Linked DNA regions of Tamandua tetradactyla. The protein of the gene in region 3 interacts with the protein of the main gene of each other region in a biochemical or structural test. Links are inferred from orthologs where the notes say so. Each region holds a gene or a part of one and is shown on either strand. Other genes may lie near its edges. The genes, in order: MYSM1, USP16, H2AC20 and UBR2.

What was found.
Region 1: of the proteins of H2AC20 (region 3) and MYSM1, one has a biochemical effect on the other in vitro, tested with the Homo sapiens proteins (2 studies listed by BioGRID). The link is inferred for Tamandua tetradactyla from reciprocal best matches to the Homo sapiens genes H2AC20 and MYSM1.
Region 2: of the proteins of H2AC20 (region 3) and USP16, one has a biochemical effect on the other in vitro, tested with the Homo sapiens proteins (2 studies listed by BioGRID). The link is inferred for Tamandua tetradactyla from reciprocal best matches to the Homo sapiens genes H2AC20 and USP16.
Region 4: the proteins of H2AC20 (region 3) and UBR2 form a complex in vitro, tested with the Homo sapiens proteins (2 studies listed by BioGRID, with this or other methods). The link is inferred for Tamandua tetradactyla from reciprocal best matches to the Homo sapiens genes H2AC20 and UBR2.

Annotation. Positions count from the first base shown.
Region 1 is NC_135328.1:162,151,894-162,159,320, forward strand, and holds the start of MYSM1 (deubiquitinase MYSM1), read left to right. Parts: upstream 1-4,413; 5' UTR 4,414-4,456; coding exon 4,457-4,521; intron 4,522-6,982; exon of another isoform or gene 6,983-7,427. UniProt on the Homo sapiens protein: Metalloprotease with deubiquitinase activity that plays important regulator roles in hematopoietic stem cell function, blood cell production and immune response.
Region 2 is NC_135336.1:88,300,934-88,308,037, reverse strand, and holds the start of USP16 (ubiquitin carboxyl-terminal hydrolase 16), read right to left. Parts: upstream 3,016-7,104; 5' UTR 2,901-3,015; coding exon of another isoform or gene 2,874-2,900; exon of another isoform or gene 2,722-2,873; intron 1-2,721. Other genes in the region: uncharacterized protein LOC143647711, read right to left, coding at 3,902-3,998, 5,017-5,163, 5,814-6,244, 6,735-6,785. UniProt on the Homo sapiens protein: Specifically deubiquitinates 'Lys-120' of histone H2A (H2AK119Ub), a specific tag for epigenetic transcriptional repression, thereby acting as a coactivator.
Region 3 is NC_135330.1:5,947,703-5,952,949, forward strand, and holds H2AC20 (histone H2A type 2-C), read right to left. Parts: upstream 1,192-5,247; 5' UTR 1,137-1,191; coding exon 747-1,136; 3' UTR 586-746; downstream 1-585. Other genes in the region: histone H2A type 2-B, read left to right, coding at 193-585; histone H2B type 2-E, read left to right, coding at 1,445-1,825. UniProt on the Homo sapiens protein: Core component of nucleosome. Nucleosomes wrap and compact DNA into chromatin, limiting DNA accessibility to the cellular machineries which require DNA as a template.
Region 4 is NC_135331.1:100,144,241-100,151,442, reverse strand, and holds the start of UBR2 (E3 ubiquitin-protein ligase UBR2), read right to left. Parts: upstream 3,005-7,202; 5' UTR 2,601-3,004; coding exon 2,523-2,600; intron 1-2,522. UniProt on the Homo sapiens protein: E3 ubiquitin-protein ligase which is a component of the N-end rule pathway.

The DNA.
Region 1 (7,427 bases), on a different chromosome or scaffold from region 3:
ATATGTTCTCTTTACTTTTCCAATGCAGTAGCAGGTGTCCAGAAATAAACCTGCTGAAGTTTTTTTTTTTACCTTTGGCTATTTTCAAGTGCCATGAAATGGTTATTTTCAATATATTTTCAAGTTCTACAGTTATTTTCTGTGGAGGGGAATTGCCTGACATCCAGCCATCACCATTGCTGGCTATACAGTCATCAGCCACAATTTTTGGAAAATGACACAAAAGAAAAGTTTCCTTGAGGTATTAAGTTCCACTAAACACTTGATTCCTTATGACACTTTTAGCCCCAAATAACTTTCACCTAGAAAGGGTCATTTCATTTCTCCCTGTTTCTAGCATGAGCAATAGGTAAGCTTCCAAAATCAAGTAAGACCTTCTGCATGAGTCTGTTGCTTTTAGTGATGGTCAGTTCTTTGGATGGAGAGAGGAAAGAGAATGGAAGCATATCATTGCCTGACGCACTGTGGCTCTGCAGCATTCATTCTCTCCATGTGGATCCTTAAAGATGGATAGGACTTAGGAATTATCTTAGCAATGCTTATCATTGCTTAGATAAACAGAGATTCACAGATTTTTATTTTTACAAGGTCAAGTTAGGACAAGGATGGAGGTAAGGCCTTGATCCAAGGCAGTATCCTTGCCTGAACATCACACTGACTTTCTTAATAAGCATTGTTTGCTGAATCTATTCTTAAAGTTCTTAAGCTTTATCATCCAGAGGAGTTATCTTAACAGCAAATATTAAAATAATATTTTGATGAAGCATGAAAGACTTACATATATCTGAAAGTTTCCAGGGTGAAACTTGGCATTTTTTTTTACAACACAAGACACAAAAAATAAAAATTATAAAGGATGACATTAATAAACTTGGTGACATTAAAATTTTAATAAAAAATTCCTATACCTAAAAAACACCCAAAAGGTATCAAAAAACCGAAAAGACAAGCCTTAGACTGGGAGAAGATATTTATAGTCCACATAAAGAAAAAAATATTGGTATTCAAAACATTAAGAAATCCCAACAAATGAATAAGAAAACAAACAATAAAAAATTGGGCAAAAATGCAAATAGGCAATTCACAGAAGATTTGGCCTTCATGGACAATAAAGTAAGGAAAACATTTGTCAACCTTACTTCTTTTTTTTATGTTTGCACTTTTATTAATCACCAAGTTGCATTTACATAGTTATTGCTACACATTTTTTGGGTGGGGGATTTGAAAAACTTTTAATTTGGAAATACTTTCAGACTTACAGGAAAGTTACAAAAGTAATGCAATCCCCATAAAGAGAACTCCAATGTATCCCTACCTACCAGATACCCAAAACTACCAATTTGAACACTTTGCCACATTTGTCATATTGTTCTATTTTTTGAACACTTGAGTGTAGATTATAGACATCATGCTTCTTTTTTTTAAATATTTGTCTTATAAACAATGTACCAACATACCAACATTCTTGATATACGATCATTCTTGACATATGAACATTCTTGACATGGTTACAATCAATGGCTAACAATATCATCCAATAGTTGTGCATTCATCACCATGACCAATTTTTTGAACCTTTGAATCTCTCCAGAAGAAGAATGAAAAAAATAAAAAGAAAAAACTCATACATGCCATACCCCTTATCACTCCCTTTCATTGACCACTAGTATTTCAATCTACTCAATTAATTTTAATCTTTGTTCCCCTGTTATTTATTTATGTTTTATCCATATTTTTTACTCATCTTTCCATACCATAGATAAAAGGAACATAAGACACAGGGTTTGCACACTTAATCACATTGTGAAAGCTATGTCATTATACAATCATCTTCAAGAAACATGGCTACTGGAACACAGCTCTAGAGTTTCAGGCACTTCCTTCTAGCCACTCCAATACACCATAAAGTAAAAGGGAATATCTATATCATGCATAGGAATATCCTCCAGGATAACCTCTTGACTTTGTTTGAAATCTCTCAGCCACTGACACTTTATTTTCTCTAATTTCTCTCTTCACCTTTCGGTCAAGAAGTTTTTCTCAATCCCTTGATGCTAAGTCCCAGCTCATTCTAGGATTTCTGTCTCATGTTGCCAGGGAGTTTTATACCCCTGGGAGTCATGTCCCACATAGAGAAGGGGAGGGCAGTGAGTTTGCTTGCCATGTTGGCAGAGAGAGAGAGAGAGAGAGAGAGAGAGAGAGAGAGAGAGGCCACATCTGAGCAACAAAAGAGGTTCTCTGGGGGTGACTCTCATTTTAAGTATGCTTAGCCTGTCCTTTGTGGGGATAAGTTTCATAGGCACAAACCCCAAGATTGAGGGCTTGGCCTATTGACTTGGTTGTTTCCACTGCCTGCAAGAATATCAGGAATTCTCCAAATAGGGAAGTTGAATTTTACCCCTTTCTCACCATTCCCCCAAGGGGACTTTGCAAATACTTCTTTATTCACTGTTCAAATCACTGTGGGATTTATAGAGACATCACACTAACCTGGACAAAACAACAAAATCTCATGCCCTATTCAAAGTTCCATGCACTTACGGTGTTCAATTAAACTATCCATATAAGTTAAATTATCAACCCTATTTAAGTAGGAAGATACAAATTAAAATCTCAATAAGATACCATTTTATATCTTTCAAATTGACAAAAATTCAGAAATCTGATTGCATCAAGTATTGGTAAACAAGTGGAGTAATTAGAATTTATATTCTGCTTTGGGATTGAGTATTGGCAACTTCTAATAAAATTGAAAATGCATATATCTTATCACCTTACAATTACATTCATACACATAAACTATATGTATCACATATATGTATACATTATATAGCCTATGTGCATGTATATATATCTTATGTAATGCATTTATAGTACAGCTTATTTTATGCCCTGAGCACAAAGGTGAGAAAAGACTAATTGAGAATACTGTGGGAAAGGAACTCATTTCATTAATTGATTCCTTCATTCATTCATCTGTTAAATATTTTTTGAGTACCTATTATGTATCAGACATCATGCTGTATGTCGGTAGTATAAGGACTGACAGACTCAGTCTTTGCCTTAGGAATTCACTGACAACAGGGGAGGCAAATAAGTGAACCAATAATTAAATTGTGAGAGTGGCAGATACTAAGGCATATATATATATATACATATATAAGAAATAAAATATATAATTAAATTGTGAGAGTGCTAGATACTAAGGCATATATATATATATATATATATGAAATATATAATTTCTTGAGAGGTCACACATTCTTTGAGAGAAATGATCTTTGTCCTCTACAATGCCTAACAACATGATTTGTACAAGGTAAACACTCAGTAAAGAATCAGAAAGGCCTAGATTCTGTTTCCAGCTCTGTCTTCGTTAGCTATGTATCCTTGGAAAGTCAGTTGACCTTTTTGAGTCTGTTGAGGATTGAACCATGCCCCCAACAAAGGCATTTTCAGGTCCCAATCCCTGTTGTGGTGCAAACCATTTGTAATTAGGATCTTTGAAGATTTTATTAGTTAAGGTGAGCCCAAATTGAATGAGGATGTTTTAATCCACTACGGTTAAAGTCCTTATAAGATAAAGAAATTGGACACAAAAAAAGCTAGAAACCAAAAGAGGAAAGAGAGGAAATTGCCACGTGATGGAAGAGACAAAAAACAAACAAACAAAAAAACCCAAGACACCAGTAAGCAGGTCCAAAACATGATAGTCTCTGGGGAGAAAGGATTGCTTTGCTTGCACATAGATTATGGACTTTTCCTAGCTCCAAAATTGAGTGCCAATAAATTCCTGTTGTTTAAGCTAAACCATTGTATGGTATTCGTTCTAGCAACTGGGAAACTAAGTCTCAGTTTCCTCATCTATTGTGTGATTGACGATACTAGCCATTATCTCAATGGGTTACTGTAACGATTAATGGTCATTTGAGAGTGATTTTTTAATTGTTAAGATCGCTACAAAATAAATGATGCAATCATTAGGTTATATATTTTAAAATAGAGTTTGTTCAGCACTTACATCTCTTTTTAAAAGAGAGAGAGAAAGCATACGTGAAAGCGCAAACGTAAATAACCAGCAGATACGACTTCTTCACATTTGCCACCTTCACAGTTCCCCGAGTATAGCCTAGCTCCAACTTTTCATCAGGCCATTAAAGTATTTGCTGCTATTCCTCTTTTACAAATGATAGAAGGGAACTGCCAAAAAATTTGTCCAAGAACATCAGCTCTCAAAAGCCCAAGGCAGGGACACTTCCCAAGGATCCTGACATTTAAAACGTAAAAGAACTAAACCACACGCCTCCGGGACTTTCCTTCTGGAAGCCACGCCTCCTTGGCCCAGGAGGGGCTTGACGGGACTTCAACCCCTCCCCTTGACGCATCCGGTCCCGCCCCCGGGTCCTCCACCTCTCGCGGGATCTCTCGGGAGGACAGGACCCGGTCCGGCCCCATCATGGCGGCTGAGGAGGCGGATGTGGATATCGAAGGGGACGTAGTGGCAGCGGCGGCACAGACAGGGTGAGGCTGTGAGACGATTCTTACCGGGCGGCGGGAAGAGGGCGCAGATGCGAGGAGAGGACACTGGGAAGCCCACGGACCTGGCAAGGCACGGGGCATCGGAAGACCATCCGCTAGGCCAGGGTCTCCTGGCGGCGGGGCTTGTGGTTCTGGTGGCGCCGCCCGTCGCGCCAACCCATGTGTCCTCACCCTAGCGGGCGACTATTCGGGGCTAGTTTCGAGACTCCTCTTTCGCTTTTCACCGGGTGCTTGTGAGGGCGCCGACTTCGCCTGGCATATTGCACTCGTTCCAGCGTTAGGTGCCTTCTTCCTTCCTCCTCGCTTTAGAATCTTCCCCGGTATCCTCAGTCCCACTGCCCGCCAATGGAACCGAGGCGGTTCCTGGCGGGTCCTGAACGGGACCTCAATGCAGGGACCCTCGTGCCATTACTCTCAAGCCTTGTAACCTTGGGCGAGAACACGTTTCTTCTCCATATGGAGAATAAACTACCTGAGAGGGAGAGTCAGGAGAGTCAGGGTTTTAGAGTTGGACAGTTCTGAGTTTGCTTTCTGCGTTTACTAACACTACCAGCTACTAGCAGTGTGACCTTGGACAAGACACTTGTCTAGCCTCAGACCTCTCATGTGTAAACTGATAATCGTGATATGTACCTCATGGGGTTGTTGAGGATCAAATGAAACTATTATGAAATGTTTTTGCATATTGTAGGGGCTCTGTAAATGTGTTTGGCTATCCGATTACCTTCGGGATGGTAGCGTGAGGACGCGGTGAGGAATCACAGTTTATTTAATAATAATTTCCGCAGAACAGCCCAGTGTGGTTTTAAACAGCAACCTTCAGCTTGGAAGATCTGGTCTATTGATGCGTTACTTTTTCCACTTACTGAGATCAATACGTATCATTTAAAAAGTGTTCTTCTAGAATATAATTTTAGTAGTGGAAGATGTCAAGACTGGCCTGGACATCAGAAAACCTTAGCTCTAAACCCAGCTAGCGATGTTGTTTTAACTGAAAATCTTCATTAATCTGTTAGGTTGAACCATATGAAATTGCCAGTATTCAACCATTTTTTACTCTTTTTTGTAAAATGTCAATTTCATATGGTTCAACCTATTATCAGAACCACTGTTAAATGGGGAGAAGAGTACAACCTGGCCATGAGGGGCAAGATATGGATATAAAAGTGTTTCCTGAACTCTAAAGCCGTATAAAAATGTGAGAGATAATTCAACTCATATAGTAATTTTACATCAAATTTTTGAGGAAAGAAGCCCAAAGTATGCATATGAGTAGGAAGTCTTTAATAACAGTAATTGTTCACAGTTGTGTTGTTTAAAACTTGACCAAATGCTTTTGTGTACTTGATTTAATTTACTTTTCACAAGTCCATGAGGTGGGTGGGCAAGAATTCTTTTGCAGCCCAGAAAGAAATTAATTGGCCTTGGAAGTACTAAATAAAGATCATCTGAAGGCATTAACTGTAGACCATTCTTCTACCATAGATTCTTCTTTATTTTTCTGGTTGTGTTAAATCCCCCACTCCCACCCCCACCCCTTTCCTTCTTCCTCCACTGTTTGGGCCTTAATTCTGCTGGTGCACTTGTGATTATATCAGCCTCCTATAAACAGGATTTCAAAGATTATTGGTTCCTAATGGTCAGAGCCATTACCTCACGTAACTCCAGGGAAGATCATTACCATTATATCATGGAACATGGAGCCTCATAGTTTTGGGGCTTCAGTCATTTGGGATTTATTGTGGATGGTGTCCCCTGAAGTATATACTTAACAACTGATGATAGCATGTGTGAAACATTGGAACATTAATATAAAATACACTTTTTTAGCACTTGCTTAGTGGTAGGTACCAAGGTACCTTTCTTTCCTACTATTCCTTCTCATTCTCCTTTTCTTATGCTTGTCATAGTGTTCCCAAATGGTTTTGTCTTAGGACTTCTCTGCACTGTTCACACAGTCTCAGGTGATACTATCTCAAGGCTTCAACTTCTGGTTGAACCATATGAAATTTCCCCAATTCTACCATTTTTGGCCTACAAAAATCGCAGTTTCATATGTTCAACAAATATGTGCTGATGTTTTCTAAATCTGTCACCAAACCAAATCTCTTTCTTGAGCTTCAGATCAGCTTACCCAATTCCCAAAATAGATCTCTATTTGGATGTCCAGCAGACACCTCAGCTTATCATTTTTCCCTCCTCACCAAATTTGCCTCTCTAGCATCCCCTAGTTAAATAGCGCCAGCATCCACCAGTCACCCAAGGCATAGACCTAGACTTTATCCCTTTTCCTTACCTCCCTCTTTCCACTCACCCAACCCTATTAGTTACTTGGGACCTGCTGATTCAATATGTGTCCTCTCAAATGTATTCATTTCTTCTCACTGCTTGTTCCTTAAGTATAGATTACTACCACTTCTCTCCAGTATTTTTATAATCACTTCCTTGTAACTGCTCCTTGTTTCCTTGGCCCCTTTTATTCTTTCCTGAAGTTAAAGCTGCCTTACATCCAAATCTGATCACTTTATTTACTTCAATCCCTCACTGGATTTTATGACAAAATCCTCATCTGTAACTCCTAAAGATCTGTGTGATCCACGCCACACTTATCTTGTTCATTCATTCATACAGCAAATATTGATTGAAAACATTCTGTATACCAAACTCTAGGAATATAGTAGCTTTCAAAAACTAAGTCCCTCCTCTCTTAGAACTAACATTATTGGTTAAGACAATGAACAAACATAAATAACACACACCTGTATTTATGATGTATGTGGCAAATATAACGCATATATGTGGCAGATGTGTCAGATAATAGTAAGTAGAGAAGGATGGAGGAGGGCAGATGATGGCTTGTCTGCTTTATCTCTTGTACTTACCTAAAA
Region 2 (7,104 bases), on a different chromosome or scaffold from region 3:
TTGTGCCAAGCGCTCCTGCAGCCCTTCCTTTGCCTGAATCATTGTTCTTGACAAGTGAGCAGTGTACTCACTTGAGGTTTGTTCTAAAAGTAGCTCAACTCCTTATTTTTAATATTTTGGAAAACAATGTTCATCAAAAAGCTTTAAACATATTTCATTTCTTTAATAGTTATTTCCCACTGAAACTGACCTGGTAAGGCTAGCTGCTGATCTTCCATCTCTCCCAATTTGAATATTTCCAATTTTGCTAAGAGGAAATACTAGAGACGTGTTTAAAAGACTGGACAATTCACCTACACTGTGTAGAAAATTACCTCCATAATTATCCAGTAGAATTAACAGTCAGCAGTCACGTTCATCTGATTATAGTACTGCAGTTTGATATTAATAATTTGCAGACTTTTATCTATCCTGCACTCATGTACAGATTACTATTAAAAGTTTTAAAATGTAACTGATTAATCACTATTTGATCAATCATTGTCTTGATTTTTTTAATTAAAATGTATTATTTCTAACCATATGTTTTTAAAGCTGAGAGAACTGGTCTAATGAATGTTTATTCTCCAGAAGGTATTTTTAAGATAAAGCTTCATAATGGCCTGTAAACTTTGCATATCTATTAGTTTGATACATATCGTCTCATTTGAAAATCTTGTGTATTGTAACTGGTTTTATCCAAAATGTCAAATAGTATAATTATGGTCATGTAATTAAAAGTATTAACCAAAAAAAAATCACTTCAATGACTACCTCATAACAGTTAATTTATCTGGAATGTTCATTAAAATTTTTATTCTGTAAGTAGAAAGTGGAGTACATATGTTCTAAAAACACTTTCCAGTTAAATATGATATAAACTGTCATTTTTGTCCTGACTTAGAGAGTTTTAGAAGTATTCCCTTTTTAGCTCCAAATGGGTTAGTGTAATTAAAGGTGAAGTAATTTAAAAATATTTGTTTGAAGAATGACTGCCACATCAAGTAAAGGTTTCTGGTAAGAAAACATTTCCAATCTAAAATGTTTACAAAATGAATGAACTAACAACAGAACACAAAGAATATGGGTATACATTAAATGAGGTACACTTTATGTGCTTTCCCTCACCCTCAAAATGACATTCATCTTATCTAGAACAAATGGTAGATTCTAAAAACTAAAAATATAACTCCCAAGTTCTTGCCTACAATCCAACTCTCTAATCTGCTGTATTCAGTGTCCTAATGCCATTTTAATCACATCACTCTCTTGACTAATAGTATTTAATAATTTCCCAGCCCAAACACTTGCTTTGCACTCATGTTCCTTTATAATTTGGCCACAATTCTCTAGTAATTGTGACTCTCATTAACAAAGAACCATGAAGATTATAATTACTGTATACAGAACTTTTGGTCTTCAAAACCATCTCACAAACATTACCTCCTTTGATTTTCACACACAAAAAAACCCTTTATATTGGGCAGAGTGCCAGAGACAGAACTAAAAACCAGATCTAAAACCCAGACCACCACTCTTTCCATTCCAATCAGGCCAATCACTTCAGAATCCTCCAGTCTAAACCACCTTGCCCACACCTCTATACCTCCAATTCTCAGCAGGCATGTTCTCTCCATCTATCCAAATCTTACCAATTCTCTAATTCTCCATCTCAATGAAGCCTTCACCAACCATCAACTCAATAAACTTCTGTCCTAAACTTTCAATGTTTATATTGTGCACTATTCATTTTATACTCTAATAAGACACTATTGTAGACAGTTTCTTAAATCTTTTAACTTGGACATCTATTATTTCTCTGCCTTGAATCTAAAGTTCAAGGACAAAGAAATGTTTTAAGCATTTCTTCTGAACTGCCTGTAGCATCTAGTAGAGTGTAAGTACGGACAGATTCTTAAGAAACACTTGTTGCATTGAAACAGAAAAAGAGAATGGTACTTGAGACATAAAAGATGATTATAAGGTGTAAAGGTAGGTACATAAGAATGAAGTAAACAAGTTCTGGTGAAAATGAAAAATGAAGTCTGCAGCTGTGAAGACAGCACTAGCAAATCTGGTTTGAGGACTGCACCAGCCCACAGTCCAAAGGAAAACTTGAAAGACGAACTGTAATTGCGGCAGGCAGAGGACAGCAGGGTATCACTTCGATGCTGTAGAAAGAGCTCCAGTAAATTTTTCACATATAAAGGACATCTAATGAGTCACTATAAAGCATCAATACTGCTATTTAATTTTTCAGGTGCGCCTTGGGACGACAATTAACTTCTTGACCAAATGACTCTTTTCAGGACTCCACACAAAATTTAGATCGAAGCTAGTCTTGCCGGATATCATACAAATCTTCTGCATTAACTCTCTGCCCTCCCAGTCTTACCCCTACAGTGTTCCACTGAAAATGCAAGAGTTTGGAAAACTTTGTCAGGTCTTAAACGTGGCTTTCAAAGTTTTTCTTAGTTCTATCCACCCTTAGAAGCAGGTGATAGGGTGACAGATTATTCTTTTTCTATAAACCACCATGAACTCAGCTGTAAACCCAGTTCCAACCCGTAGGGTGCTGTCCGCCGCCTGCCACCCACCCGCGCGGCGCCCGCCAGACCTGCCCTCCCCTTCCAACTAACTGCTCCGAACCCACTCCAGGACCTCGGGGTCCACGAGGTCAAGAGGGGCGCCAAGGCCAGCAACTCATTGGCCAGCCCCTGTAACTGACAGAAAACGTAACCAATGAGAATACGGTGTCGGGCCGGGACCGGGTAACCAGCTTAAGGAAGAAGGTCCTACGAGAAGAGAATCAGATGTGGGCAGAAAATTTGGGACTCTCAGAGCGCATGAAGTTAAGCCAGTAGGGACTACAAGTCAGTGGGGCCAGAACTCACCCGCGGCGACAGCGCCCATAACTGCATTCCCTGATGGGCCTATGGGCTGGGACTCCAGCTCCGTCCTCCTCCCGGTGACGATTAGAGAGCGACAGAACTCAAAGCCAGAGTGACCCCGAGAAAGCAACAACTTCCGAAACACGGCATTATGGGAAGTGGCTCCGGCCCCAAGGTTCGGCGGCGCTGACGCTAGCTAATCAGCGCTTGCGCACACCGCGACACGGAAGTCGGGGCCGCAGTAACCTTAAGGAGCTCGGCTGTCAATGAGGCATTTCCCCATTGGGTAAATGAGGTAACTGATGGTGTTTAGAAGTTTGTGTGTGTGTGTTGGGGTGTGTGTGTGTGTGTGTGTGTGCAATAAAATGAGGTAACTGATGGTGTTTAGAAGTTTGGGTTTCCTGACTGATAATGAATTAGTGCCTAGATTCTTCCGAGTTACTGTTCTTAAATATTACACCCGAAGGCTGGATAAGATGGGAACATTTAAATTTCACACAGTTTTACAGGAACTGTCTTATCCTGTACAACGTCAAAATAAAAAGTAGCACACATAGTTTTAAAGCAAAGTTGAAGAAGTGTCTTAAAGGCAGAACCACGGAGGGTAAAATTTTCAAACACTGTTCATTCGTTCAAATAAGTAAGTGCCCACTTGGTGCCAGACCCTCTGCTAAGAGAAATTAAACATAGGATTCGCCCTTTTGGAAATTATTCTAATAAAAAAGACATAATCACCATGGAAAAAAGATGCAGGATCAACAGAAAAATAGGTAAGGGAAGTAAACAAGTTATCCACAATAGGTCATAAAACGTACACTCTTACTAGCAATCAGATAAAAGTAGATTAGGATTTATTGGCATTTTATCCATCCAGTTGACCAAAATGAAAACGACCTCTGCTTAAATCTGGAGATAAACTGGCTCTCCTGTTTTTTACTGCTTCTGAGTTCATTTTTCAAGTTCTTTTTACTAAGTTCCAGCCACGCTGGTTTTGTTTATTTGTTGTTGATGTTGTTTTTCTATTCCAAAACTCAGTCTTGGGGCCTCTGTACTACCTGCTTCCTCTGCCTGGAATGCTCCTTGTCTTGACCTTCTGTGTTTGGTGTCCTCTTGTCATTCCGTTCGCACCTTAAAAGTCACAGAAAATTCGCTGAGCAACCTAGGTAAAACAGCCACTCCCAATCATTCACATCATCTTATTTTACTTCTCTGCCCAGCAGTTATCCCTCTCCGATATTTTACTTTCACACTTAGTTATACATTTGCTTACCCCACCCTACCGCATATACACAAAAGTGCAAATGTAAACTTCTTGAGAGCTGGAACATCTTTGTGTTGTTCATGGCTATATCCCTAGAAGTGTCTGGTAAATAGAGTAAGTACTTAGTAAATATTTATTGAATAAATATAATCTTTAGAAATTAAATATTTGTACAAAATATGTTCATAGCAGCTCAACTCATAAAAGCCAAAAAAAACAAAAAACACCCCAGGCTCCCAGGAAAAAAATGGAAAAACTGGAATATTCATATAATGGAATACTACTAAGCACTAAAAAAGAACTGCTACAAGGACATGAAGGAATCTTATAAATTATTAGAATGATAGAAGCCTTACACAAAAGCACACCTACTGTATGATTCCATTCATTATAGGGCAGGCAAAACTAATTATGGTAGGAAAAAAGAGTAGTGGTTGCCTCTTGGGAGATGGGTGCAGATGACTGAAAAGGGACATGAAGGAACTTTCTGGGGTAATGTTAATGTTCCAATTCTCAATAGGGTTTGAGTTACACAGGTTTATGCATGTCAGAACTCAACAAATGTACATATAAGACATACATGTCATTATAAATTTTATCTTTAAAGAGAACTAAACAATTTGAACTCTTAAAGATACGCATGCTGGCATACACATTCTGCAGTACTTAGAAAAAAGTATGATACATGCAGCTTACTTTGAAATGCTTTTTAACAATGGATAGATTAAATATGTAGCAAATTATGTATAGTAAAATATCAGGATAGTCTCTCAGTGAGGGTTTCTTAACCCTCGCACCATTGACATTTTGGATTAGCTAATGTTTTGCTATAGAGGATACCCAGTGCAATGTAGAATGTTGAGAAGCATTCCAGGCTCTACCCACCAGATGCCAGCAGCACTCCTCCAGCTGTTGACAACCAAAAATGTCTTCAATCCGTGCCAAATATCCCTACCCCCTCCTCCTTCCCTTTGAAACCACTCCAAAAATCTCTCAACTTTGTTGTATGCTTGAAATTTTTCAGAATACAATCTGGAGGAAAAAAGAGATGGGTTGTTTAGTGACACTGAAAAGTGCCTTAAAAATACCAAGTAGAAATGCAGCTATAAAGACCATATACAATCTTATTTTTGTAAAAATAATAACAAAGTTTGGAAATTAGCGGTGATAATGTTACCACTGTTCACCTAAAAAACAAAACAAAAATCTTATTTACGACATTTCTAAACTGAACATGTAGTATCATAAAGGAAAAAGTGAAAGTATGTATTACATACATTTGGATTAAAAAACATTTCTAATCACTCCTTCAAACTGTCATTTTATTACCTGCAGTAAATTTCTGTGCATGGATACTTCCCCTCACACACACATCCTGGGCATATTATCGGGAGCGAAAACCTAAAGCCGTCCCAGCCATCATCCTCAGGCCCGTCTCCCTAATGCCTAGCTACTCAGTTCAATTTGAGGACCAACAGCATCCGCATCGCGTGAGACCTATTGCAAATGCAGAATCTGGGACCGTAGCCCTATCTGTCTAACCGGGATTTGTATTTAACAAGGTCCCCAAACGCTTCCGACTTGTGCTCAAGTTTGAGAAGCATTACTTTAATGGTCCATTCCTTGCCCCAGTAAACAATGCCGGCTATATTTCTCTCTGATAGTGCCAATAGGTTTGAGACCGTGAGGTGTAGGAAGACCACGGGGCCAGAACACCCCTCCAGCGGGTCGCAGCCGTCACCACTGCGCCAATCGACTTCCGGATTCCACGGCCCAGCGCGCGCAAGCGCAAGCCACCTTCGCCCTTTCCCACTTCCATAGGGGCGATTTCCAGGCTCCGGTCGTCTTGTATTCTGAGGCTCGCTCCGCATAACAGAAATATCTGTTTAGTGAGGAAACCTGGGAATACCGAACTGAGGGCGCATTCAGTGCGCCCTCGCCTGACCCCAGGTGAGTTCTCCGTCCGCGGGCGCCGGGCACGACTGAGAGGTTCTCCCGCTATCAGAGGCGGGCTCCACCTTCGGGAAACCTGCTGGCGTGGTGGCACAGACTTCCGGTGCCGTACACGCCCGCTTATTGGCCGCTGTCCCTCCCTCTCAGGACCTATTGGTTGCTAAAGGCGACAGCGCCTGCGCGCTGGGCTTAGGTCCACTGCCAGGGCCGCTTTTTGAGATTTGAGTCCGAACTTTGCTTTTAAACACTTTGTTTTTAAATGCTGGGTTCCTGCTCCGATCTTTAAAAACAAATTTCAAATAGAAAGAAGGATTCCACTCAAGAAACTCTAGTTTCATTCTACGTTATTACAGAACAATTCACTGCACTCGAGTCAAAAAACTCTCCTGAAGGTTTTTGGGGCTGAAATTTTCACCCACGATAGTAATTTGGCAAATAAGTGACTTTCTTGTGTCAGCACTCCCGTAGTTGTTAGCGCACGGGTCCCTCCGTTCCAAACTTCTTTGCTGGGTCCATCTCATCTTCCAGACCAGACCTCCAAACTCACTGGGTCCCTCTCTACATGGGCACTCACTTGCTGAGAGATCTTAAATACACGGCTGTAAACATGTTGGCTTCAAATAGGTGCTGGTGACTCCGAATATCTTCACCCGAATCTGCCGTAAACTCCGTAATTGTAAATCCAAATGCCCACTGTACATCTCTAGTTAATAGATGTATTAATAGGTACTTCATTTTTAGTATGTCTAAAACCGAAATTCAGATTTCCACTATCTTACCTTTATAGATAAATGGCAAAACCATCCTTCTGGAATTGCTTAAAGCCTTGGAGTCATTCTTACACATCCCATCTAACTCATTGGTAATACCTGTTGGCTCTACTCTCACTGTATGTCCAGAACTTGAAGCTCACTGCCTTAACCATCACAACCCTAATCCAAGCCACTATCCTATGTTCCCCGAGTCTGCAGTGCCTACTGGTCCCCCTGCTTTCATCCTTGTTCACCTACACAATACTCC
Region 3 (5,247 bases):
TTGCGCGCGGTGCGGGGCGCCCACGGCTGTCGCCCGCTCGCCATTGGCGGCGGACGCGGCTGCGCGCTCAGCCAATCAATCAGGGCCCCCGCCCCGCTCCGCTCCCGACCTGCGCTTATAAATCACAGCAAATGGGTTCCCTGCTCCATCCCTGCCCTTGAAATAGAAACAGCCACTGTGCTTTTAGCTGCAATGTCGGGCCGCGGGAAGCAGGGGGGCAAGGCCCGCGCCAAGGCCAAGTCGCGCTCGTCCCGCGCCGGCCTGCAGTTCCCGGTGGGCCGAGTGCACCGCCTGCTTCGCAAAGGCAACTACGCGGAGCGGGTGGGGGCGGGCGCGCCGGTGTACATGGCGGCGGTGCTCGAGTACCTGACGGCCGAGATCCTGGAGCTGGCGGGCAACGCGGCCCGCGACAACAAGAAGACGCGCATCATCCCGCGCCACCTGCAGCTCGCCGTGAGGAATGATGAGGAGCTCAACAAGCTGCTCGGCGGCGTCACTATCGCGCAGGGCGGCGTCCTGCCCAACATCCAGGCCGTCTTGTTGCCTAAGAAAACGGAGAGTCACAAGCCGGGCAAGAGTAAGTAACCACGAGATGTGACGCCGCCACCGCCCCCCACCCAAAGGCTCTTTTCAGAGCCAACTAAACAGCAAAAGAAGGGCTGATGACAGGTAGCGCTAGCTCTTTCCTCTGAAAAGTTGGGTGGCTCTAAAAAGAGCCTTTGGTGGTCTTTGGCGTTATCGACAGATTATTTGCTTTTAGCCTTGTGACTTTCGGTTTTCTTTGGTAAGAGAACAGCCTGGATGTTGGGCAGGACGCCGCCCTGCGCGATGGTAACTTTGCCCAACAGTTTGTTGAGCTCCTCGTCGTTGCGGATAGCCAGCTGCAGGTGGCGAGGAATGATGCGCGTCTTCTTGTTGTCGCGGGCCGCGTTGCCCGCCAGCTCCAGGATCTCGGCCGTCAGGTATTCGAGCACCGCCGCCATGTACACCGGCGCGCCCGCCCCCACCCGCTCCGCGTAGTTGCCTTTGCGAAGCAGGCGGTGCACTCGGCCCACCGGGAACTGCAGGCCGGCGCGGGACGAGCGCGACTTGGCCTTGGCGCGGGCCTTGCCTCCCTGCTTCCCGCGGCCCGACATGGCAGATCAAAACTAAACACACAAACACACCAAGAGACAGAAAATTGGTGGTAGCAACGCGGCAAAAAGAAAGCCTTTATAAGCCTTCCTAGGGGTGGGGTCAGGAGCGAGACTCTCATTGGTCCTAAGTTGGCTCCAGAAACAGCCAATAAGGTCCAGAGTAGGCGCTGTTACGTAGGCATTGATGATAAAACATGGCCCAATGGAAAGGAAAGACTTTTGGAGCCCTAATTTGCATAAGGTGGTTATAAAAGGTTCAGGCCCGCCTATCCTTGTGTCTCCTTTGCTGATTTCAGCGTTATTTTATAATGCCTGAACCAGCAAAGTCCGCTCCCGCTCCCAAAAAGGGTTCCAAGAAGGCCGTCACCAAGGCGCAGAAGAAGGACGGCAAGAAGCGCAAGCGCAGCCGCAAGGAGAGCTATTCCATTTACGTGTACAAGGTGCTGAAGCAGGTGCACCCGGACACTGGCATCTCGTCCAAGGCCATGGGCATCATGAACTCCTTCGTCAACGACATCTTCGAGCGCATCGCGGGCGAGGCGTCGCGCCTGGCGCACTACAACAAGCGCTCCACCATCACGTCCAGGGAGATCCAGACGGCTGTACGCCTGCTGCTGCCCGGCGAGTTGGCCAAGCACGCCGTGTCCGAGGGCACCAAGGCCGTCACCAAGTACACCAGCTCCAAGTGAGCCCCTGCCGGGCGGGGCGCGCACGCCAGCGCTCGCCTAAAGCTCCAAAAGGCTCTTTTCAGAGCCACCCACTCGGTCACAAGAAAAGAGCTTTCTCCATCTAATATTTCACTTTAGATTCGTTTCTAAAGGAAACGTGGAATCGGGAGTGATTCGACCCCGGCCCGTGACTAGTTATGTTTTTGAGTTCAGACCCATCTTTATCCTTTGTGTTTTCAGGGAAAGGATTTATTAGGATGCAAAGGATTTGTTGTTTCCAATTGTTTGTAGGGTAGGCGGCGCTTTGTTAACTTGGCGTGGAAAACGGAGTGATTTCAACTGATGAACTTAATGGAAAGACCCCAGGATACATTGAGTTCGGGTCGGAAACGTCGTACGACAGCTTTTTGTATTAGTTATGTAGCCATTCTTGGAGCGACTTGCATGTGGGGTCACCGGTGGCCGCCCAGGGGTCCCAGTGGCTGTAGGCGCCCCCTGCGGAGCCCACACCCAAACGCGCCGGGTTGGACGGGGTGAATTTTCAGAATCCCGCTTCGTTTCGTAATTCGTAGCTTCCGATTCCTCTGCTCACTACAGGATTCTAAAACCTTATTCCGCGCCCCCCCCCCCCCCCCCCCCGGTTCTACGGGTTATTTTACATATAACGCTGCTTGGAACGCGGGGTCCTTAGGTCACCGCAATCCTTGCCCTGGTCACGTAGGTTTGGTCCCAAAGTCACCTCGGGGAGACCGCCCCCCCCCCACCAGATAAGCCATTCAGGAGTCCGCGCCTCTTATTCCAGTCTTTCCGTTCACTCTTTTTTAAACTTCTTCGTAGCAGCTTGGGAAATTGTGTGGTTCGTTTGTCTTATTTATGGTCTTTATTCCCCTCCGGTTTGCGAGCCTTTGAGGGCAGGAAACCTGGCCTGGTTCTCGCCTGGTTCTCAGCTGTATCTTCAGCGTGGCAGGGCCAGAAGCAGTGGGCACTGGCTGCGTGAGTATTTGAGTTCATTTCCCACACCGTTTTCTTGGACGAATGGGCGCGCTTGTTTCCCCTTAGCTGTGTCTGAAGCCACCACGCCTCGGTGAGAATGGACCTGTGGTTTGGAGCACATTCCAAGTACAGGACCTGTCTGCAGCCACTGGGAGGGGCGATGGTCAGGTCCTTTCTGCGCGGGGGGATGTGGTTTTGGTAAGACCTCCCTTTACTTCCCGGCTCAGAGTAGTGTCTTCGGGGTGATTATCAAGTTCAGAGCGTTCGTCACTGGAAAGTGCAATGAGCCTTCCAAGCCAGCTCCCTTTATGCCCGCCCCCTCCCCCCCCATCCTGATTCTCTTCTTCACTGGGACTGCTGTTAATATGCCCTATCTCCCTTGTTTCTCAGGAGACTCTTACTTAGCTGGGACAGGCAGGACCCCAGGGCTAAAGACCCCTTCACAAATGAAGTTCACAGTCACGAAACTAAGGTTTTGATGGTGTTTGTATCCTCAGGTATGAAGACAATTGCATTTTGGTTTTATTTTGTGGAGTTATAGAATTTCGAATGTTTCTGTCCAAGTTGTGCTTTTACTGACGAAGGCACTGCTGCTGGTCTGAGCAGTTTCTGCACTTTCCTTTGGGTTAAGGGACTCCTGAGTTGATTCCAGAGGTTTCATGAATCCGAATAGGCCCTGATATTAGTGCAACTTGTATCTCATTCTTGTGTTTTCAAATGTGTGTAAATGCAGTTGTTAAAAATAAAGTTATGAATTAGGGTGGGCCATGGTGGCTCAGCAGGAAGAGTTTTCGCCTGCCATGCCGGAGACCTGGGTTTGATTCCTGGTGCCTGCCCATGCAGAAAAATAAATAAAAATAAGGTTGCCAATTAATTTGAAAGCTTTGCTGGGTCCGTTAATCTGTAATACACTCTCAGTTAAACAAAATAACTGCCACTGAATCTTCAAGAAAGCTGAGTACCTGTGATCTGAAGGAAGAATATACACCTTCAGCACAAAATTCACTTCCCCAAAGGTCCCCTGGGGCTGAAATAGTCTGATGAGAAATCACTTTTCATGCTTAGTGTTTTGAAAACTGTGACAACAGATACAGAGTATAAACAGGGTGGAGGAAATAAAGGCTTTAAAGTTTACTTTAGTAAATGATAAAAGCTCATACCTATAACAGCTCTTACCATGTGGCATCTCGTGTTTTGTGTCCTTTACACTCATTGACTCATTAAATCCTCACCAAAACTGTATGAAGTAGGTATTACCATTACCCTCCAATTTACAGATGAGGAAATGGGCACAGAGAGACCTTTCCTCAGAAACTCTTCAGAGAATAAGCTGCTAGTCTCTGTAGCTTGGGAAATTTTTTTGATGACCTGAGAAAGTAGGCTCACTAGCTGAAAATCAGGACCCTCCACCCCTACCCCTGGGTGTTTGGGGAAATAGCTATCGCTTAAAACTTAAATGAAACACCACCTGCTTTACTCTTTTCAAAATGCACACTGGATGTAAATCTGGGTGGGGGGAGGTAAGGAGGTGATGACTAAAGTCTTACATACCGCTCCCGAGGCTTTGGGAGGGGGTTGGGGAGCTCTGGCTCTCCTGCCTAGAGGACACAGCCTAACTCAGCTGGCCTGGCCCACCTGGCACTCAACAGTTGGAATCTTTTCATGAACACTGAAGAACACTACTTGCTGGTTGCAGGCCCTTCCTGGACATGATGTTCATTAGGAAGGAAGTTACAGAGTAAGGAAAGGGAAAGAGGTGATAGGGTTTGCTATTTTCACTGGGAGGGGAGGTAATCAGTGATGGTGAGATTAATCCTAAAGACTCTCTTTAATCATTTCTTTCTCCCACTCAAACATCTTTAATTGCCTTTGCTTATATTGGAGTTAATAATCATAATTATTAATAATAAGTTACTATTTTAATAATTACTATAATTAAAGTAATAATTGCTATCACTTACTGAGCACTTAACTATTACCTGGTCCTCTGCTAAGATACTTATGTGAATTATCTCAGATTTTCACTTGATAGGTACCATTATTATCCTTATTTCACAGGTAAAGGAAATTGAGGCTCTGAGAGGTTAAGTAACTTGCCCAGGATTGTACAGCAAGTTAGTAGAACTGCAGTCCAGTGCACAGTTTTAAAAACCCTGGTGTTTAAGGCTTTCCGTTATCTCCATCTTTTTTTTTCCATCTTTATCCAGGTTTTCTGCTCTAGTCAAAGTGATCTACTCACCTTCTCCTAAGCCTACTTGTTTTTTTCTGACTGCGGATTGGACTGCCTCTGCTTTCTGGCATGGCCAGCTTTCTTCTTCAAGTCAAGGCTCTTATGAGTTCCTTCCCCCTTGGGAAAAGAAAGTTTATCCTGTTTCTCTCTGGAGCCACCATGTCATAAGGTCAGAATTTAAAAGTGGAGAAGGACTAGGACCATCCCAACTGTCCATCAC
Region 4 (7,202 bases), on a different chromosome or scaffold from region 3:
AAGCAAAAAAAAAAAAACAATATATACATACAACTCTATAAAATTTCTACAATGCCTATGTATCTTTTACATTTAGGGAAAAAAATGTAGGGACTTCCTAAACCATAATCACTCATTGGAAAATGACATTGTAATTAAATCTTGGAGCATGAAATGTAAATAAAGAGGAGAGTCAAGAAGTACGGAAAGTTATAGCTGTTATGGAATCATTTCTATCAAGAAAAAGAGAAGACTGAGAACAAAGGGCCACTTTAATATCCCAAACTTAAAATTATTAAACAGTCAGCTTAGAAGCTTTTTATTTCTGAGGCATACTAGTCAGGACAGATGAGTTCACAAAAAGTTCTTCCTCCTCATTCTAGAAATAAGAGAAGCAGTGTATAAATAAAGTTTGGAAAGATAACACTAGTGCTCACTGTGTAATTTTAAATGGATGTGATCCCAATAACTTATCAGTAACAGAAGTTTAAAGGCTGCAATAACTGCTTTCTCTACTTGTTTACACTCTCTAAAATTTACTTTGAATCTGATAGAGAAACTTTGTTAATTCATTTTCAGTTGTGAGAAGGGCTGTACTGGAGCCCAAGCTGAAAGAACAGTTTTAAATGTCATGCTATTATAACCAGAAACAGACAGTAAACCCTTCACAAAGTAAAGATAGATTACATGAGCTGAGGGGATCTTATATTTTAATATTAGCTAGTCTGTTCCTTATTTGAAGGAATTGTTGGCCCTCAGACTGAACCTTTTTCTTCTTTATGCTATCGTTCAGAAAGCCATTTAAAAGTAAACAGAGCAAATGTAAAATATAGATCAGGTTGCAGATCCCCACAAACTCTAATTAAGTTCAAATTAATAATTAGTTATTGCATTTCCTTGACTTTCCCCACTGCATCTTGAGAGAATGTCACTGCCCTAGAACTAGGAGTGTTGGCCTTCAGCCCTGGTTTTATAACTGGTTTCCTCGAAATTCTCAACAAGTTGAAGAAACTCTAATCACTCAACAGTTTGCCCTTTTAGATGAGGTATCATAGAATAAATAGCCTATACTACTGGGCCAACAAACACAAAATTCAGTGAAGAATAAAAAAACCACAAAAAAACTCTGAGGTAAATAACTGATTAGATATCAACAGAAGAGATCATGCATAAGGAACAGCTGCCAATACTATTATTTTACTGTTTACCTTAACAGTTTTCATTTGCTTTTTCAAATATCTTCGACAAATGAAAGGTAGAGGGAGGTTGAAAATCCTTGAGCTGTTGCAATACTAAATAGACAGTAGTGCAAACAGACACGGGATAAACATGTAAATCAGGATATGGTTAAAAAAAGAAAGAGAAGACTCATTACTGAACAGGCAGTCTATTTCTTTACACTTTTTAATTATACTCCTACTGTCATTTATTTGCACCCTGACTTTATATCATTAATGCACACAAAACAGCTCATCACTGACCAATAACCCCATAGTACCCTCCTCAAATTCTGTTCATAACATTAAGTAAGATTGTTGACTTGTGTTCAGAGGTCATTTCCTTCTTATTAACCTTAGGGGTGGGGCCTAAGTTGTTTTGGTCCATTCATAATCATTCTGGACAATCTGTACTAATAGGTGTTCCCTGTCCTTGGGGGAAAGATGTCAAGTTTTATTAAAATAATTATTTTACAATTCTGCTCATTGTATTAGCATATGCAAATTTTAGTACAATACTTGGTTTTAATAGTTTAACTTCGGAGCATAACTGTTCCTGCTAAGCTGTGGCCTCTCAATGTTAGCTTGTATTTATTGAAAGTTACACTCTCGAAGTTATATAACTTACTCTCCATCCAACTACCCCCAATGACTAGAGAAATTATTTTTTTTAATCTCCTGGTCTCCACTACAGCTTTCATAAAATTACTAAATGTGTCAAGATACTACTTCCTACACCTTCAAAGACACGTCGTCGGCTGACCAAACAGGTACAAAAACGCACAGGTGTCGTTTGCATCCCTGGTGTCCAGGGCAACCCCAGAAAAAAAGGAGGGGCTCAGTTACTGTGCCATGTTTCAGTGGAGGAACTGCTTCGCTTACCTCAGGAAAAGGAATCAGGAAGTCTGAGTTGGGTGATTATACCAAAACCACTAGGAATCGTCTCTTTCCCTCCCATCCTCCGAGGGCTGGAATAAAGGGCAAAGGCCCGTGTACTGGCGACTTAATGGGAAGTGGGGGGGCGGGGGGGGGGGGAGACTAATGCAAGAGCTCTTTGTTGGTCTAGGCAGAATGGGAAAGTAAAGGTGGCTGGAGCACTGGGCTATTTGAGGATTAAAAGGAAAGACAGGAGATCATTAGGACCGGTGGCCTCCTCCGGCCGTTACTCTGCAAGACAAGACTGGGGAGAACGGAGAGGCCGGGGAGGCAGGCGCGGTCGTCACATCACGTCTGGGCCGGGCCGCCCCGGGATTTCCAGGAGTGAGTTCCTCCCTCGGGGCGCGGCCTGCGAGGGCCAGACCTACATGCGGGGGTCCCGGTACTCACCCCCGCGATCTCTTCAGCCGAACATTCCAGCAAACTCCGGTCGATGGCCTGCACCTCGGGCTCCAGCTCCGACGCCATTTTTCCTCCTCTTCCCCAGCGCTGACGCCGCTACCGCCGCCCCAAGGGCCGTGGCCTCGCCACAGCCCGGGCGGCCGCGACCGTCACCCCTGCCCCAGGCAGTCAGTCCCGGAGCCGCCAGGCGGCCGCGGGTGGAGCAAGGCAGGAAGGAAGGGTGAGGTGAACCGGTCAGGAGGGACGGCGGTGTTTACGCTCCCTCCCGGGCCCAGCGACCAAGTGGCAAGTCACCTACTTGTCTCTGCCCGGGGAAGGACACAGAGAACCCCGTGCCTGGCACTCTCGTTGACTTCTACCGCGTCCGACCCGGGGAAAGGAGCAATAACACCCAAGATGGGAAGAGGAGCACTCTGGGAACGGTAGTAGTCCCAGGCAAGGCCAGGAGGAAGGCGGCCCCTTAATAGGGTGCCACAAGGGCATTGTGGGAGTTGTAGTACATCTCTTAAGGAGAGAATGGCAGAGAATCTGCCAATGGGAATTGGCAGGTAATGGGGCGGGGTTTCTTTGCACAACTAGACTCTTGGGGAGAGACTTGGGAAATAAGCACCCGCTAGGAATAAGGCTGCAGAACAAGATACTGTGGGAAGTAGTTTTATCCGCTGTCCCCCACCCCCCACCCGTATTTGTTCATTTTTGTATCCTGAGGGCATAGAATAGCCTCTGGCACATGGTAAATATTCAAGTATTTGTTAAAGTCCGGCATATGATATACACTCAAATATTTGTCAAAATAATGACTGAAGATCTGGAAGCATATCAAGAAAGTTACTAGAGCTAATAAGTGAATTCAGTAAAGTGGTGGGGCACAAGATCAACAAACAAAAATCAGTAGTATACCTAAACTAGGAATGAATGATCAGAAAGGAAATCAAGAAAACAATTGTATTCATAATAGCAACTAAAAGAAGAAAATGTCTAGGAATAAATGTAACCAAGGATGTAAAGGACTTACATAAGGAAAACTACAAACCATTGCTGAAAGAAATTAAAGACTTCAGAAATGTAAAGATATCCCATATTCATGGGTTGGAAGACAATATGGTTACAATGTCAATGGTACCCAAAATAATTTATAGGTTCAATACAGTCCCAATAAAAATTCCAACAACCTTCTTTGCAGAAATGGAAGAGCCAATCATCAAATTCATAGGGAAGCACAAAGGGTCCTTAGTAACCAAAAGAATCTTGAAAAAGAAGACGAAAATTGAAGGATGCATATTTCCTAATTTCAAAACTTACCACAAAGCTATAGTAATTGAAACAGTATGGTACTGGCACAAGGGCAGACATATAGACTAATAGAATAGAATTGAGAATTCAGAAATCAACATACATTTCTATGGACAATTAATTTTTTCCAAGGGTGCCAAGTCCACTCAATGGGAAAGAATAGTCTCTTCAACAAATGGTGCTAGGATAACTGGACATCCACATGCAAAAGAATGAAAGTATCTACCTTGCAACAAATACAAAATCAATTCAAAATGGATCAATGACCTAAATAAAACTATGAATCTCTTAGAAGAAAACATAGGGAAATATCTTCAGAACCTTGTATTAAGCAATGAATTTTCAGACTTTATATCAAAAGAATGAACCACAAAAGAAAACAAATGGGACTTCATCAAATTTTTAAAAACTATTGTACATCAAAGGGCATTATCAAGAAAGTGAAGACAGCTAACAGAATGGGAGAAAATCTTTGGAAACTGTATATCTGATAAGGGCTTAATATCCAGGATATACAAAAAACCAAAAAACCTCCAACAATCCAATTGAAAAATGGGCAAAGGATAATGGGGATAGTTTCTTTTTGAAGAGGTGGGAAGTTCCTGGTAATAGATGGTGGTTAAGTGTAATATAACATTGTGAATGTGATTAATCTCACTGAATGGTATACTGGGAGTGGTGGAGATGGGAAAGTTTATGTTGTTTCTATGTATCCATAATTGTTTTAAAAAGAGCAACTAAAGAGTCGCAGATTAAATGCAATACATGGCATTAGACTGGATCTAATATTGGAGGAGAAAAGCCCTAAAAGGCTTTTGAAAAAACTGATATAGAGAATGAAAGTTTTATATCAATGTTAAAGTTCTTGAACTTGATAACTGTACTCAAGGTGGTTATGTAAGTATATATCCTTGTTCTTAAGAAATGTATATAGAAGTATTATGTATTCAAGGGGCATGATATGTATAATATACTCTCAAATGTTTAGAAAATTGATAGATAAATGGATTGATAGACAAAATGATACAGCAAATCTGGCAAAATGTTAGAACGGTTGAATCTGGGTATCTGTCGAGGGGAGTTCTCTGTATGGATTTTGTATTATTTTTGCAACTTTCCTGTGAGTTTGAAATTATTTCAAAATAAAAAAGTTTTAAAAATTCAAAACCAAATGGACAAGCGATTTGAATAGACACTTCTCCAAAGACGTTATAAAAATAGTTAATAAGCACATGAAAAGATGCTCAATGTTATTAGTCATTAGGGAAAGACAAATCAAAACCACAATGAGACACCACCTACAACCACTAGAATGGCTATTATTCACCAAACGGAAAAGAACAAGTGCTGGCAAGGATGTGGCAAAATAGGAACCCTTGTACATTGTTAGTGGCAATGTAAAATGGTACAGTTACCATGGAAAACGGTTTGGTGGTATCTCAAAAAGTTAACCTTATTATTATCATATGACCTGGCATTCTCACTACTAGGTATATACCCAAAGAAAGGCAAGCAGGGACTAAAACAGATGTGTGTATGTGAATGTTCACAGCAGCATTATCCACAATTACTGAAAGGTGGATGCAACCCGAATGTCTATCAACTGATAAATGGTTAAACAAAATGTGGTATGTACATATAATGGAATATTATTCAGCCTTGAAAAGGAATGAAATTCTGATACATTAAACAACATGGAAGAACCTTGAGGACATCATGTTGCGTGAAATAAGCCAGACACGAAAGGACAGATTTTGTATGGTCTTCCTTATATGAAATAACTACAATATGCAAATTCATAGAGAAGGAAAGTCGATTATGGATTACTAAGGACAGGGAGGAGAGAGAATGGGGAGTTAATGCTTTATGACTGGAGAATTTATTAGGGGTGACAGAAGAGTTTTGGTAATGGATGTTGGTGAGAGTAACACACTATTGTGATTGTAATTAATGCCACTGAATTGTGTGCTTGAAAGTGGTTAAAATGGTAAGTTTTATGTTTTAAATATATACGTGCGCACGCACACACGCACACACACACAAAGAATGAGGAAATTACATTCTATTCCTGTAGTTCTATGGACCTATATCATCCATCACCCAGTCATCCCTCAGACTAGTACCTGAGGTGAACATTATTTGGGATTTTTAAGGTTTTAAAATATATAAATACTTAAAGAAAAACTTCTCAAGCAAATTAGTGATGGCCACTTATCAAAATTTATTACAAATTTTGTCACAAAGGAAAAGGAATGAGTTGAGGTAGACTGCTTGAGGAAGAGAGGCTATGTGGAAGAGAATGAAGATACACAGTTGACAGCCACACATCCCAGAAGCAGAGCCACTTCGCTGACCTGTGGGGAGCTGTAACTGCATGAGAGCATCCAGGGAGAGAAGAGGAGAACTGGCCTAAATCGCTCACCTGCAGAATTGTGAACTAAGTAAATGACTGATGTTTTAGGCCACAAAGTTTCTAGGTGTTATTTTAATGCAGTAATAGCTAATCAGTTCAGTCATATAGTTAAATAAATGACAAAAATGGCATTGAACTCAAATCTCTTCAACTCCAAGACCTATTTCCCCCTGTGGTACTGCTTCCCATATGCACCCATTTCCAGGCAAGTTAATTTATTATCTTTTTTTCATGATTAAAATAACCAAGCGCATGTAGAGTAGGCCTCAAACCAGGGAAGTTTCCCTTCTTGATAGGTCCTAACGTCATTATTTGGCTCTTCTTAGAGGCCATGGGTAAAAGATTGGAAACTTTCTGTCCTTGAATTATTTTGAAACACTGGACACAAATCTTCCTATGTGAGGATCACACCAAGATACATCTGTCACGGTTAATCTCTGTAGACACACCCTCTACTATTCTTGGGGACAAGGTTGCCCCACCTCCCTCTTTTATTTCTAAGAGATTAACGGTGACGGCAACTGATTGTATTTGTTTTTCCTCATTTGAGCTTTGATAGTGGATTTCCTCTAGTCTGTAATAGAAATGTATGAAGCAGTTGATGTAAAAATAGTCCTCAAGACAGAAGGAAATAAAGAGATTTTGAAAACATCTCATGTTGGTTCTGTACCTGCTAGCACTGATTTAAATGACCTCCTAGGGGGCAGGCCACAGTGGCTCAGCAGGCAGAGTTCTTGCCTGCCATGCTGGGGACCCATGTTCAATTCCTGGTGCCTGCTCATGTGAAAAAAAAAGAAAAAAGAAAAAAATTACATCCTAGGAATGGAACATCCACTATCTTGTGGTTCTCTGCTTTCTAAAAATCATTTTGTCTCAGATGTAAAAAGGATTGTCACTTGGCATACTTTGATGCAGAATTGCCCAGCTACTGCATCTTCTCCCCAGTTCTCTCTGCCAATTGG